Linked DNA regions of Bombyx mori. The protein of the gene in region 1 interacts with the protein of each later gene in a biochemical or structural test. Links are inferred from orthologs where the notes say so. Each region holds a gene or a part of one and is shown in the gene's direction. Other genes may lie near its edges.

Region 1 (4,075 bases):
CGTATTTATTCGAGGTTTTCTTGCTTCACAACGGTCGGTGTTATTGAAATACCATAAAAAATATGCACAAATCATCCATTTGAGTCTACGATTTGACAGGTGCTTCTTTTAAACGAACTTTGAAAAAAGTCCCGATAAGCAGAAGATCTTGGCAATTTCAATCCATAATAATACTATTCAATGCGAAAGTGGGATTGGTGGTTTGTTGCGCTTTCATGTTTTAACTACCCAGCTGGTCAAGACGAAATTTTTCGTACAAATTGTAAGATTACAAAATAACAAAAAGAAAATTAGCTCGGAGAAATCACACATGTTCAGTTGGCCCCAAACTAGATAAATAAATACATAGCTATACCTTTAAAAGTACGTTTATAACATTTAAAATGGCTCAATACTTTCATTCATTTATACGGATATCAACATCCAAACAAATAGTAAACAAATCTGTTCATCACACTAATGTTTACCTGATCTGGGAATCGAACCCACGATATTTTTTTGCTTTTGATGCCAACAAAAAATCTGAAAGTAATATCGCCATCGCATTCACGGCCACGGAACTTGTATGACATTATTTCGTGCATTGATCTTGAAGCAGGATTCTGCCTACTATGTTGCTTCGAAATAATTTTGTACCTAGAAATATTTTCACATAAGTTGATAAAGATACCTGATAAAATCAACCGCCTTTAATCTAAAAACTTAAATATTAGCTAGTAACCAATATAGACCTAGGGATCTAGACAAAGTGTGCTCTTAAATATTAAGTACATATATTATCTGTGAATGTACTAGCGTTAATGTGAATATTAGATATGTAAATACAGAAGTACCGTATTTATTATATTTAATTTTAAGGAATTGACATAATAAATAATAATTACCTATGCTAACGAAACGTCACGTGGTCTAACTCATGTCAATCCCTTAAAATCATACCCGTCCGGGCATAGCTGGAATAAGACCTCAGGTACCTTCAGACAGGGAGTAGACTCAGTGGTCAAGGCTCAGGTACATCAGGTTTTTTAAAACTAGGTCATTTAATATAATAATATGACGTAACAATTATGTAAAATTATTATCTGCTGTATAAAAAAGTTACAAATCAATTAGGCATCATTAAAAAAATACAAATCTGCGTGCCACGAATCGTATTGTTTACAATTTATCCCTGAACTTTATGTTGGCACCCCGAGCCTTTGAAGAAAAAATGAGATAAAAGCATATGCAATACCTTAGAGCGAACGAAGTAGCAATACTAGTGTCAGCTGCATTTGAAAGTAAACGAAATTCGACGAGTCTCCGCCATGTTGTTGTATGAATCGAGTGACGGTGGGTCGGATATTGTGCATTTAATTTGTAAAAATTATTTAAAAGTCGTGAAAACAGTTAATCTGTTTGGCTTGCACGGCCAAGGTAAGTTTTATTCGCATTAATTTTAATTAAATAATGATATTAGTCACCTTAATATCTCGACCAGTACAAGTTATTTTATGGGGTCGGGTGTGGTGTTCGGTATTTAGTTCATGGTGCACTTATTTGTTTTGTTTTCCGCTGTTCCAAAAGTATTTCCTAGTGGGAAGCATTAAATAAATGCAAATGTTTATGTGATTAAGTTCTAATGTGAACCATGCTTTAATTCTTATGAATCGATCGATAACGTACAAAGCGGAGACATGTTTTATGGTATTTTTTACAACAGGGGACGGGTGCATCGTCGCATCGTCTAAATCATGAGTTATCAAATTCCATCATCGCAAAGTCGCACAAGTAAGTAATTTATATTGATTCTTTTGTAAATGTAAATTTATCATATCATTGCCATTCAAAAAGCTTGAGTACTTACTGAACGCTGTTCAAACCACTTACTTCGATACAATTGAATGAATCGGTTTGTGTCTATCGTGACTCATGCATATGGCATTACTTGAACGATAAATTTATAAATGAACTTTAACTTTTCTGTATCTCAGTACATTCTCTGCTAAGTAGCAAAAGAAAAAGAAATCCTAAAACACGAAAACATTGGAATTGAAACTGAGGGAAAAAATTACATTTTGAATCATACATTCTCAGTTCATTTATTTGAAAACAATTTTTAAACAAATTGCAAATAAATTAGATTAAAAGGAAATTTGAAATATAATTTGTTATGATTTGAGAACTCTCAAAAAGGTTCTTCAATTAATGAAAATACAGGTATAACAAGATTAGGATTCAACATAATTGAAACTTCAATCTCTTGTCAAAAGACGTGGAGTTCACATTAATGGCATAAAGTAACCACTTTATTTTAGTTTAAGTTTAGCTCCTGCAACTACTTACTAATTCTCTTTATGTTCGCTTGAAATTAAACCCATACTACCCCTTACATTCCTACAGAAATATATATATATCTCTCTGTTTTGTGTGAATAAAAAACGAGAAAACATCATTATTTTACAGTGTCGCACAGCAGCTATGTTGCTTCTGATGTGCCAATGGCACCAAACAAAGAGCAGCAGACATTGATGTGGCAGCAAAACTCCTATTTAGTGGACTCTGGAATCAACTCTGGAGCTGCTACCCAGGTAATGTTATCAGACTGTCTATTATAAAATACAGCAGTAATATTGTCCTATTTCATTATAAAAATTGGATTAAAATAAAATACGGCTTGTCTTCTTAATTTAACATAATTTTGGGATGGACACAACTGAAAATCTATCTTTATCAATACAACAACATAAGTCATTCAATATACAAAATAATGATGAAGTTTGATTAAATTTTTTATTATGATGACACTTCATAATATGAGATACCTGAACTACGTGTGCTCTAAACCTTGCTGATTTTATCATGGAACTTTTAACTGTTAAACGTAGAATGATCTAAAGAAAAAGAAAAAACATTTTCTGTCTCATTTAGTCGTGACTGAACCATACAAACTAGCAGTTTGAAAATTACTTCTGCATATTAAATAGATTTTGAATTGAACTGAGCAGTACTTTCATTAGTGAAATCTGTTATGGTATTTCATTGATTTTATCTGGCCTGTGTTCTTTAAGTAAGGACAGTAAATATGAGCAAAACACCATCCATTATAGTGTGAAGATATTCTTGCATTTTAGTTTTTAGAGTACACGTCAAGCCTTGTGTACTTCTTAATAGTTGTTTAAGCACTGATGAAACTAAAATCTTAGTATACAGCTCGAAAAGTAATATAAAATATCATAAAAATGCACAAAAGATCAGCTATAGTGATAATTGCTAACTTTTATTTGATATTTAAAAAATATTTTTTATTCCCAAAAGTACAAAAGATTTTTTATGAGAATACATAACCATACCTTTGTAACTTGACTGAGAGTGATAATCAGATGACTCCTACCTTTTTGAATAGTCACATCAATTTATTTTAGTTAAATGTATGATTCTCTTCAGGTTCCATCACTAACTGGCAAGGAAGATGATGAGATGGAAGGTGACCAACTTATGTTTGACCTTGATCAGGGTTTTGCTCAGGGATTCACTCAAGAACAAGTTGATGGTGAGTTGTTTCCCCATTTCATTTAGAAACGTTTGAATGTACAATATAGAAATAATTTTACACAAAAATTCTTATGACAATACAAGCTGTTTGGATTGTTGTATTCAATATCATATGCTTTACTTTCAGATATGAATCAACAGCTTTCTCAAACTAGATCTCAAAGAGTCCGTGCGGCTATGTTTCCTGAAACGCTGGAGGAAGGAATTGAAATTCCATCGACACAGCTGGATCCCGCTCAACCAACTGCTGTCCAGCGTTTAGCTGAACCTTCCCAGATGTTAAAGCATGCTGTGGTGAACCTCATCAATTATCAAGATGATGCTGATTTAGCTACCAGGTATAATTATGTAATATAATAGCCTAACACCAGATATTCTATCAGATCATCAGGCAACAAGCATGAAAAAAAAAACATTACACTATTATTATTCATTTGTTCTATTCCTATTGATTTTAAATTTGTTTCAGAGCTATTCCAGAGTTGATAAAGCTACTGAATGATGAAGATCAAGTAGTAGTATCCCAAGCTGCCATGATGGT
Region 2 (4,532 bases), on another chromosome or scaffold:
ATGACGTAAAATGAGCACATTGCTCTGAGCAATTGTTTGAGATGATACCATCATCTCGTTTTTACCATCACACCGCCGGAGAAGAGTTCATCCATACTACCTGGCGCCACTGCGTTCATCCACAGTGTTTCCAGAGTTCTTTTTTGCTACGTACCATCCGGCTTTGGGATGAGCTCCCCTCCACGGTGTTTCCCGAGCGCTATGACAATCCTTCTTCAAACGAGGCTTGTGGAGAGTACATGACGGTAGGCAGCGGCTTGGCTCTGCCCCTGGCATTGCTGAAGTCCATGGGCGACGGTAACCACTCATCATCAGGTGATGCGTATGCTCGTCTGCCTACAAGGACAATAAAAAAAGTAGCACAGTTAAAATAAAAAAAAACGCTTCCCAGTGATATTATTATTTATGTGGTTTGCAAATGCTTGTGGGACCATCAACACACCCAGCGAGCGTTAGATATCTTAGCCGGTTATAGTGTTATATTGAGTCTTCGTTATCAAAGTGATCAATGGTGTTCACGATGCCTATTTACAGTAATAAAAAAAACATGATTGACGCAAAAGATTTAATGGTGATCGATATTAAAATCTAGTTCCAGTGATACAGACATCTATTTTTGAGCGTGCAAAAATATCATAACTAGGTATAAATATTTAAATAGATGTGGTCTAAGTTGCTGTCGCTAAAGTAAAAGAATAAAAAACGAGTACGGAGATATTTACGGAACTAAATATATATTTCCGTTATTGCCTCGCTGTAGTCCTCTGTCCTCTTGAGTAATAATTGATTTCAGTACGACACTGTCTGTACCTCCTCATCTAAACATGAAGGTCACTAGGTCACCTACTTTCGCAATGCAACGCAAACTTTTACAATATTGCAAACTCCTTTCTGACGTCACGCGCGGCACGTCACTTTTGCTCTCGTTCGGTGGGCTTGCTCATAGCCCACCTAGTGTTAAATGACGAAAACCATAGACATCGTCTCAAATTCTAGAACTTAAATCTTAGATGTCTTAAATTCTATTGTACGACTTTTCTACCTCACAATCAGAAATTAGTCATTATTATGATATCAACTCAAATAGTATCAGATTTTAGGAAAATCAGCTATTCCGATTTCGTAGGAAACATGATATATTTATCTATTCGCTAATGACTGAAGGAAGAAATAGTGTAAACTTAGTAATTGTCTACTGATCGTGATATACATAATTAAACATTGATGTTTAAAAACCAATAATACCGAACCAATAATGTTAGTACAACAGAGAATAAGTAAGAGTATTATTATAAAATTCTAAAAATATAGTACCTATTTGATTAATCCTTTTACAATGAGTTATTATTGCAAAAATAATTTAAAGATTGAAAAAAATCATTAACTTCAGAATAAAACCAAAGTAGATTTTGACAAAAAATTTAACATACGAAAAGTACAACTTTTGCTACACAAAAATATTTTTTACCGCTGGGCACACTACGCGTTCTGAAACTCCGTGAGAGAGCTGTGTTACGATTATTTTTTTACGGAAATAAATCAAGAACCCAAAGAATATTAAAATTAAAAGTCTATAATTACACACAATAGTTATGGACTACAAATAAATTATATTTTAACTTTTTTGTGTCTTTAAATCGCACACTATTTTTATTAAAGTGTAAAAACGGAGGTTAGACGATTTCAGAACGCACTCCATCCTCCATGTTTTGTGCTCCATTCAGCCACTGTCTTGTGAAATGTAGTTTAGAATTTTACCTCTGTTTCCATTCGGATTGTGCGTAATTTGTGATTTCATTATCATAATTTTGACTTTGTGCATTTGTTTTGTATCAAATACGTAAAAATGTCGTTCCCGTGGAGATCTCGTTCGGAAGTATTGATTTCTGGAAAATACAAGGTGTCGAAAAAGATCGGTGGTGGATCGTTCGGTGATATATATTTGGCTATCAACATCGGAACTGGCGAGGTAATTATGATTTCTATCCTTTTCATCATTAATATCTTATGTTAATCTAAAGGATTAAGGTCGGGTGCGTTGTTCCCACCGCGAGGGGGGGTGAGGCGCGTTTTGTCTACGATGACGTATCTAATAAACCCAGAAATGGTTTTATCAGTTCATGGCACATTTCGAATATTCTCATTAATTATAACCATATAGATAGACATTATTTCATTAATACTTTACCTCTAGGTTGTATGAAATTGGTTTTATTAAGATACATTTCATTTCCTGTGTTGTGTAGGTCACATCCACACTACGAATGAAACAATGCCTCTACCAAATATATTCAACCTACATACATCGAGGCGTTTATACCTATTACCGTATACAGAATTATATATCAATAATAACCAATCATTCTTTGTTAAAATTTAAAATTGATAAACAAAAAATGCTAATTATATATTAAAAGAAACTAAAATTGCACAATAAAGTTATGTAATTCGTCATATTAATGGGAAATTTCGTAAGAAATATTATATAAAGAAGTCTAGAAAAAAAGGCATTTGTTTGTTTGCAAAATTGTTTAAGTCACATTCAATTCTTTTCATTTAAAGATTTATAAATTTGTTAATAAGAATTATATTTCTCTAATCTTATATTTATAAAAAAACACAATTTACAAATAAAGAGTAAATGGTAAGAGTTACAGAAAAAAGTCACATTTTCTTAGGTTTCCCGCTGCTTTACAGTGTCCTTTTCTTTTTGCTTATGATTGTTTATTATAGGATTAACATTGTAAAAGTATATGGTTGCCAATGGTAACGTTATGATACAAAGGTATTGAGAAGAAAATGTTTTATTTGCATTAACTGACACTCAATTCAAAACTAAATCAAGAACGAAACATTTGATATTAAAATTAAAAAGATTAAGCTTATTCATGTAGCTATGAATCAAAGCTAAATTCAGGGATATATTGAACATAATTTAGGTGAGGTTGTTAAGAGAGTTTTAACTTTTTTAGAGTGAGTGTTTAAGAGTGAGTGAAGAAATGGTATATAATAGAGGAGTATGGAAGGAGAAAACATGTTGCGCTGACCCAGGTGACTAGGGAAGGGCCGAAGAATAATGATTGGACATAATTTAATAGAATGTGTATCACTTCAAAACAATAGAGACATTGACCCCAATTTCAAGGATCCTGAAAATGGATTGTTATAAGCTTACCTAACAATTTAGTTTAAAATAAATGTATTCCACATCTTGTAAGTTTATATTTCGTTACCCATATGAAGAAACCTTTTAACCTTTTTTTGGGGCAATGAAGCTCAGGGAATGTTAATTAAATATTGTCTATCCTTCATAACAGAACAAATAATATTTGTATATATAAAGTACTATAGTTACCTGTCAAGGCAAGCTCGTAGGTGCATAGTTTTCAATTGAGGGATGTACCCTATGTCTCAAATTAATCTGCCCAAGTTATTAGGCAAACTGGTCAATGATAATTTCACTTCATATACTGAGGTTGAAGCCCTTATTCTTTTAGGATAGTAATGGTCTTACTCTCCTAATTCGAAACCATGATAAGCAGTTGTATGGTTGTTTTGTTTGCAGGTAGTGAAATAGTAACCACTATATCAGTGTATCATTGATAGTGATCTGTGTTTTAAGCGAACTGTATATCTTTTGATCTGCATGTGTGTAGGTTCAGATATCCTGATGCTTCAGAAAATTTTAGTATCCTTAGAGGCTAGAGATACTAACAATTTCTGTTTCTTCTTCATCTCACATTCTGTGGGGTCAGTATAGCAGGTCCCCAGACTTCCCCTTCTCACATTACTCTCTACTTCTATACCCACTTATTAATGATTTGTGTTTATATAACTTAAATTGACAATTGTACTACTAATACATATGACTTTTTTTTCTAATGAGATTCAGTCCACCGTAACAAGGTGTGACGTTATGCAGATACCGCTTTTCTTATGCTTAAATTTGTAAAGCAGTTCACAGCCCACCTGTTGTTAAATGAATACCAGAGCACATAGACATCAACAACGTCATCCACCTTGAGTTCTTAAGTCTCAGTTCTGCAGTATGATGACTGCACCACTCTATAAATGATCCGTCATTGGTACATCATGGTGAAAAAGGCGGGATAGTGCTTACTTCTCTTGCAGGGTTTTAAGACACCCTACCACCAGTAATTGCACAAAAAAATTTTTTTACAGGTTTTATTATTATTCTTTAATTTGTGGAAGTAATTTATAAATATGTGTTAAACAAATATTTCATTAGAAAATTTATCTTCAAAAGTTGACTGATCAATACTGAAGGCACCTTTAGAACATCAGACATAAATTACAATTCTATTCAAGGAATATCTATCGTAACATAAATTCCTATGAATCCAAAATGTATTATCTAAAGGAATAAAAATTGTGTGTGTTTAATGTGAATTAATAGTGAATGAGTTATTCATTTATGAAATAAATTTTGTGTAACAATACTTCTTTAAGGATATGCTATATTTGTTGTGCGATATACATGTTAATATTTTTCTTGCAGGAGGTGGCAGTGA
Region 3 (3,735 bases), on another chromosome or scaffold:
CAACATTGTGAAACTGAAGTATTTCTTTTATTCCAGTGGCGAAAAGGTGAGATATGTTTATCGAAGAATTATTATTATTGTAAGGAGATTCGCGCTTATTTAAGCCTATTCCTTTGAGCAACAACATCTTATTTACTGTGTATCTTACTAGAGTATAATTTCTAGACAGCTTGCTTGTCAATATAACATTTAGAAGCGAGATCTGTTTATAAGCCCTTTTATTGTGTATAAGTATTGTGAGAAACTAGGATTAAATGAACGTTAAATTTCGTTCTGAAACGTTTCGTAACTAAGGATTATGTTTTGTGTTTTATTTTGGGGAAGGCGGCAGTGCCCGCAGCAGTCAGTTCTCTGTTAAACGCAATGCAGACCCTTGATGTCACAGTATGTTTATGAATAAATAAAATTGTTACGCTAGTGTGCTATCGCACAATTTAGGCCTGCCAAATCGATTCATGGTTACCGACCAATATTTTCAAAATTAATAGGTTACAACAGTTTTAATTGTGCCACATTAAATAGTGAAAATGTGACGTATCACGCGCTTCCTGTCTTATCGACGTGAATGATATAAAATAATCACGACTAACAACTGCTCTAACAATTTTCTATTCCATTTCAGTCTTCATTCATCGAAACTAATTTGTTCACTAACAAGCCGTTTCTCCTTAAAATATTGACCGGTAACCTCCAAACGCCAATAAAACATTGTGCATAATAAATTGAGACCAATCTTAATCTATCACGAATCGTCAGTTTCCAGTTAAGTGCTTTTACATCACAATCCATTGAACACGTCGGGACATTTATCATGTTTTTTGATCATTAGTCTTGTCTGAATTTAACCGCTGTTTGCTTGTATTCTTTTTGACATGGGCTTTTAAAGCGACACGGCCATTTATGTAATAATTATTGGCACATTAAAATCATTCATTGAAAGAAAAGTCAAAACATCTCTAGTTCAATAAGGCCATCAATGTAAATGGTATAAAATTACTTGTAATAACTATTTGCAGAATAACCAGAGAAGACCCAGTATTTATTAAAGCCAAACGAAATCATTAGTTTTTTCACTTTTTAATATGAAAATTTTAATCTAAAATTTAATTATCTAACATTAAGTTTTACCAAAAAGAAATCATGCTATATCGATTCTCATAAACAAAATCACTTATTGCTAAAAACAAATTTGTGGTCAACCACAAAGTCAATCTGAGTAAAATCAATCTAAAATATATTATTTCGAATAAAAAGTTATCGTAATAGGTAAAGTGCTATCTATCATCTTGCAACATTGACATAGGTACAACTAATAATGATTTCAGAAAGACGAAGTGTACCTGAATTTGGTGCTGGAGTACATACCCGAGACCGTGTACAAAGTGGCGCGTCATTACTCCAAAGACGAACAAACCATACCCATTAGTTTTATAAAGGTAAGTATGCATGGTAAATTCTTCAATTAGGTGTGAAGGACCAAATACAGTGTCTCGATTTGAAAAAGTATTCGTGCTATTGTAACACCTTGTAAGTCCATATATACATATAGATCTTCAATGAATAATATTATATTGGTCAATATGTTAGAATACAATTAAACTATTTTTTCAAATGAACTTATTTTTTAGAAAATACTAACTATAATTTGCCACTTCATTACGGATCTTCAAGATCCATTAACGGTGCTTTTAGGCATCTCAAGAACCGGTCAAGAACCCGTTTCTTGCGAAGAGGGCTCGGCGAGTAAGTTAACCCATAGACACAGCCCACTGAGTTTCTCGCCGGATCTTCTCAGTGGGTCGCGTTTCCGATCCGATGGTAGATTCTGCAAACCACTGCTAAGGTCAGTGTTAGTAACACTTCCGGTTTGAGCCCCGTGAACCTACACGTTAGTCCTTAGGAAGAAAAAAAACTATAATATGATACTTATTGGGGTGGGCTACTACTCGTCACGCTGATCGCAAAAGTCAGTTACGAGAATCGTTTCACTTTTCCACGTTATTAATGTTTTTTCCCTCTTTTTATTGCATTGATCGGTCAGAGAACTTACGGCCCATCTGGTATTAAGGAGTTACCGGAATCCATCACACCGTAAATGTCGTGATCCACCTTGAGACATGATTTCGAAGTCTTAGTTTTATTGTATAACAACTATCTCACCTTTCAAACACTTGACTGCTTTGCAGTGGGAATAGAGCGGATGGTGGTACCTATCTGTGTGGGCTCACTATAGGCCCTAGCACTAGTAATTACGCAAATTTATGAATGTTTTATCGGTGAATTTCTATTACACGACATCATCCCTTCAAGTACGTATTACTTAAGAAAAAAATTGCCTGCGGGTTCTGCATAAGTCTAATCGTTTGATACGTGGCTTCTTTTGTTCATTAGGTCACGGAGACTAAAACTTTTATATTTGGCATTTATTTGAAGACTTTACTCTGTGTAAACAGTGTAGACAATGTAAGGGAACTACCCCCTAACCCAAGTAAACGATTTAGTGAACACTCAATGTAAAGGGTATACGTACAATGTTTGGGTCTTTAAATTATTTGTCATTGCGTGTTCACTACTTCACGGGAGAGGTTGCATTACATTTTGTAACTAGCGACCCGCCCTCGCTTCGCTTCGGAAACTGTAATTTGTTATTGATTTCTCCACTATTTAATGGTTGTTATTATACATATAAACCTTCCTCTTCAATCACTATCTATTAAAAAAACCGCATCAAAATCCGTTGCGTAGTTTTAAAGATTTAAGCATACATGAGTCGACTATTATCAAAGTCGGCAATCTGACTTTTGGACAATGATTGGTAAACCAAAAAAACGAATTATTGACTTTGTATTCCTTTGGCAGTCACAAAACTCTTCGGAACGACATCTTAGATAAATAACAGGTTAACTATTAACCTTTATTTAATGCAGGTTTTGAACCGTATTCTTTGAAGGAGACGATTATATTCAAATCAATCTGTATTGACATATCAATAAATTTTTTTTGTCCAAATGCACAGATTGCCACCTTTGATAATAGACGACTCACATAGGGACAGACAGATATAGAGACAGAAAAAGCGACTTTGTTTTATACTATGTAGTAATAACAAGTAGTTCTTTTTTTTTAATGATAGTCTATAATAATACATATATACATTTTAGGTTAGTCCTCATTTATATGTTTGTGTAATGTAGTAATATTTTTCGCAGCTGTACATGTACCAGCTGTTCAGAAGTCTGGCGTACATTCATTCTTTGGGCATCTGTCACCGAGATATCAAGCCGCAGAACCTATTGCTTGACCCCAAGACTGGAGTGTTGAAGCTGTGCGACTTTGGCTCGGCGAAGCACCTCGTTCGCGGAGAACCAAACGTTTCCTACATATGTTCGCGTTATTACCGCGCTCCGGAGCTCATCTTTGGCGCCACCGACTACACCACGAAAATTGGTACGTTTCTTATATCTATTATATAACTAATTGGACCTACGAAGTCGTCGTGGCCTAAAAGATAAGACGTCCGGTGCATACGTGTTGAACGATGCACCGGTGTTCGAATCTCAGGCGGCTACCAATTTTTCTAATGAAATAGTGTACTCAACAAATGTTCACGATTGACTTCCACGGTGAAGGAATAACACCGTGTAATAAAAATCAAACCTGCAAAATTATAATTTGCGTAATTACGGGTGGTAGGACCTCTTGTGAGTCCGCACGGGTAGGTACCACCACCCTGCC

The links.
Region 2: of the proteins of armadillo segment polarity protein (region 1) and CKIalpha, one has a biochemical effect on the other in vitro, tested with the Drosophila melanogaster proteins (2 studies listed by BioGRID). The link is inferred for Bombyx mori from reciprocal best matches to the Drosophila melanogaster genes arm and CkIalpha.
Region 3: of the proteins of armadillo segment polarity protein (region 1) and glycogen synthase kinase-3 beta, one has a biochemical effect on the other in vitro, tested with the Drosophila melanogaster proteins (2 studies listed by BioGRID). The link is inferred for Bombyx mori from reciprocal best matches to the Drosophila melanogaster genes arm and sgg.

The regions. Positions count from the first base shown.
Region 1 is NC_085116.1:12,303,106-12,307,180, forward strand, and holds the start of armadillo segment polarity protein, read left to right. Parts: upstream 1-1,275; 5' UTR 1,276-1,416; intron 1,417-1,463; exon of another isoform or gene 1,464-1,660; intron 1,661-1,702; 5' UTR 1,703-1,733; coding exon 1,734-1,770; intron 1,771-1,842; exon of another isoform or gene 1,843-2,010; intron 2,011-2,445; coding exon 2,446-2,570; intron 2,571-3,426; coding exon 3,427-3,532; intron 3,533-3,661; coding exon 3,662-3,872; intron 3,873-4,003; coding exon 4,004-4,075. Other genes in the region: uncharacterized protein LOC101744306, read right to left, coding at 1-75. UniProt on the Drosophila melanogaster protein: Isoform neural may associate with CadN and participate in the transmission of developmental information. Can associate with alpha-catenin.
Region 2 is NC_085132.1:9,600,268-9,604,799, forward strand, and holds the start of CKIalpha (casein kinase I alpha), read left to right. Parts: upstream 1-1,703; 5' UTR 1,704-1,846; coding exon 1,847-1,969; intron 1,970-4,519; coding exon 4,520-4,532. UniProt on the Drosophila melanogaster protein: Casein kinases are operationally defined by their preferential utilization of acidic proteins such as caseins as substrates. Can phosphorylate a large number of proteins. Negative regulator of wg signaling.
Region 3 is NC_085124.1:8,499,946-8,503,680, reverse strand, and holds part of glycogen synthase kinase-3 beta, read left to right. Parts: coding exon 1-46; intron 47-324; coding exon 325-384; intron 385-1,325; coding exon 1,326-1,436; intron 1,437-3,209; coding exon 3,210-3,447; intron 3,448-3,735.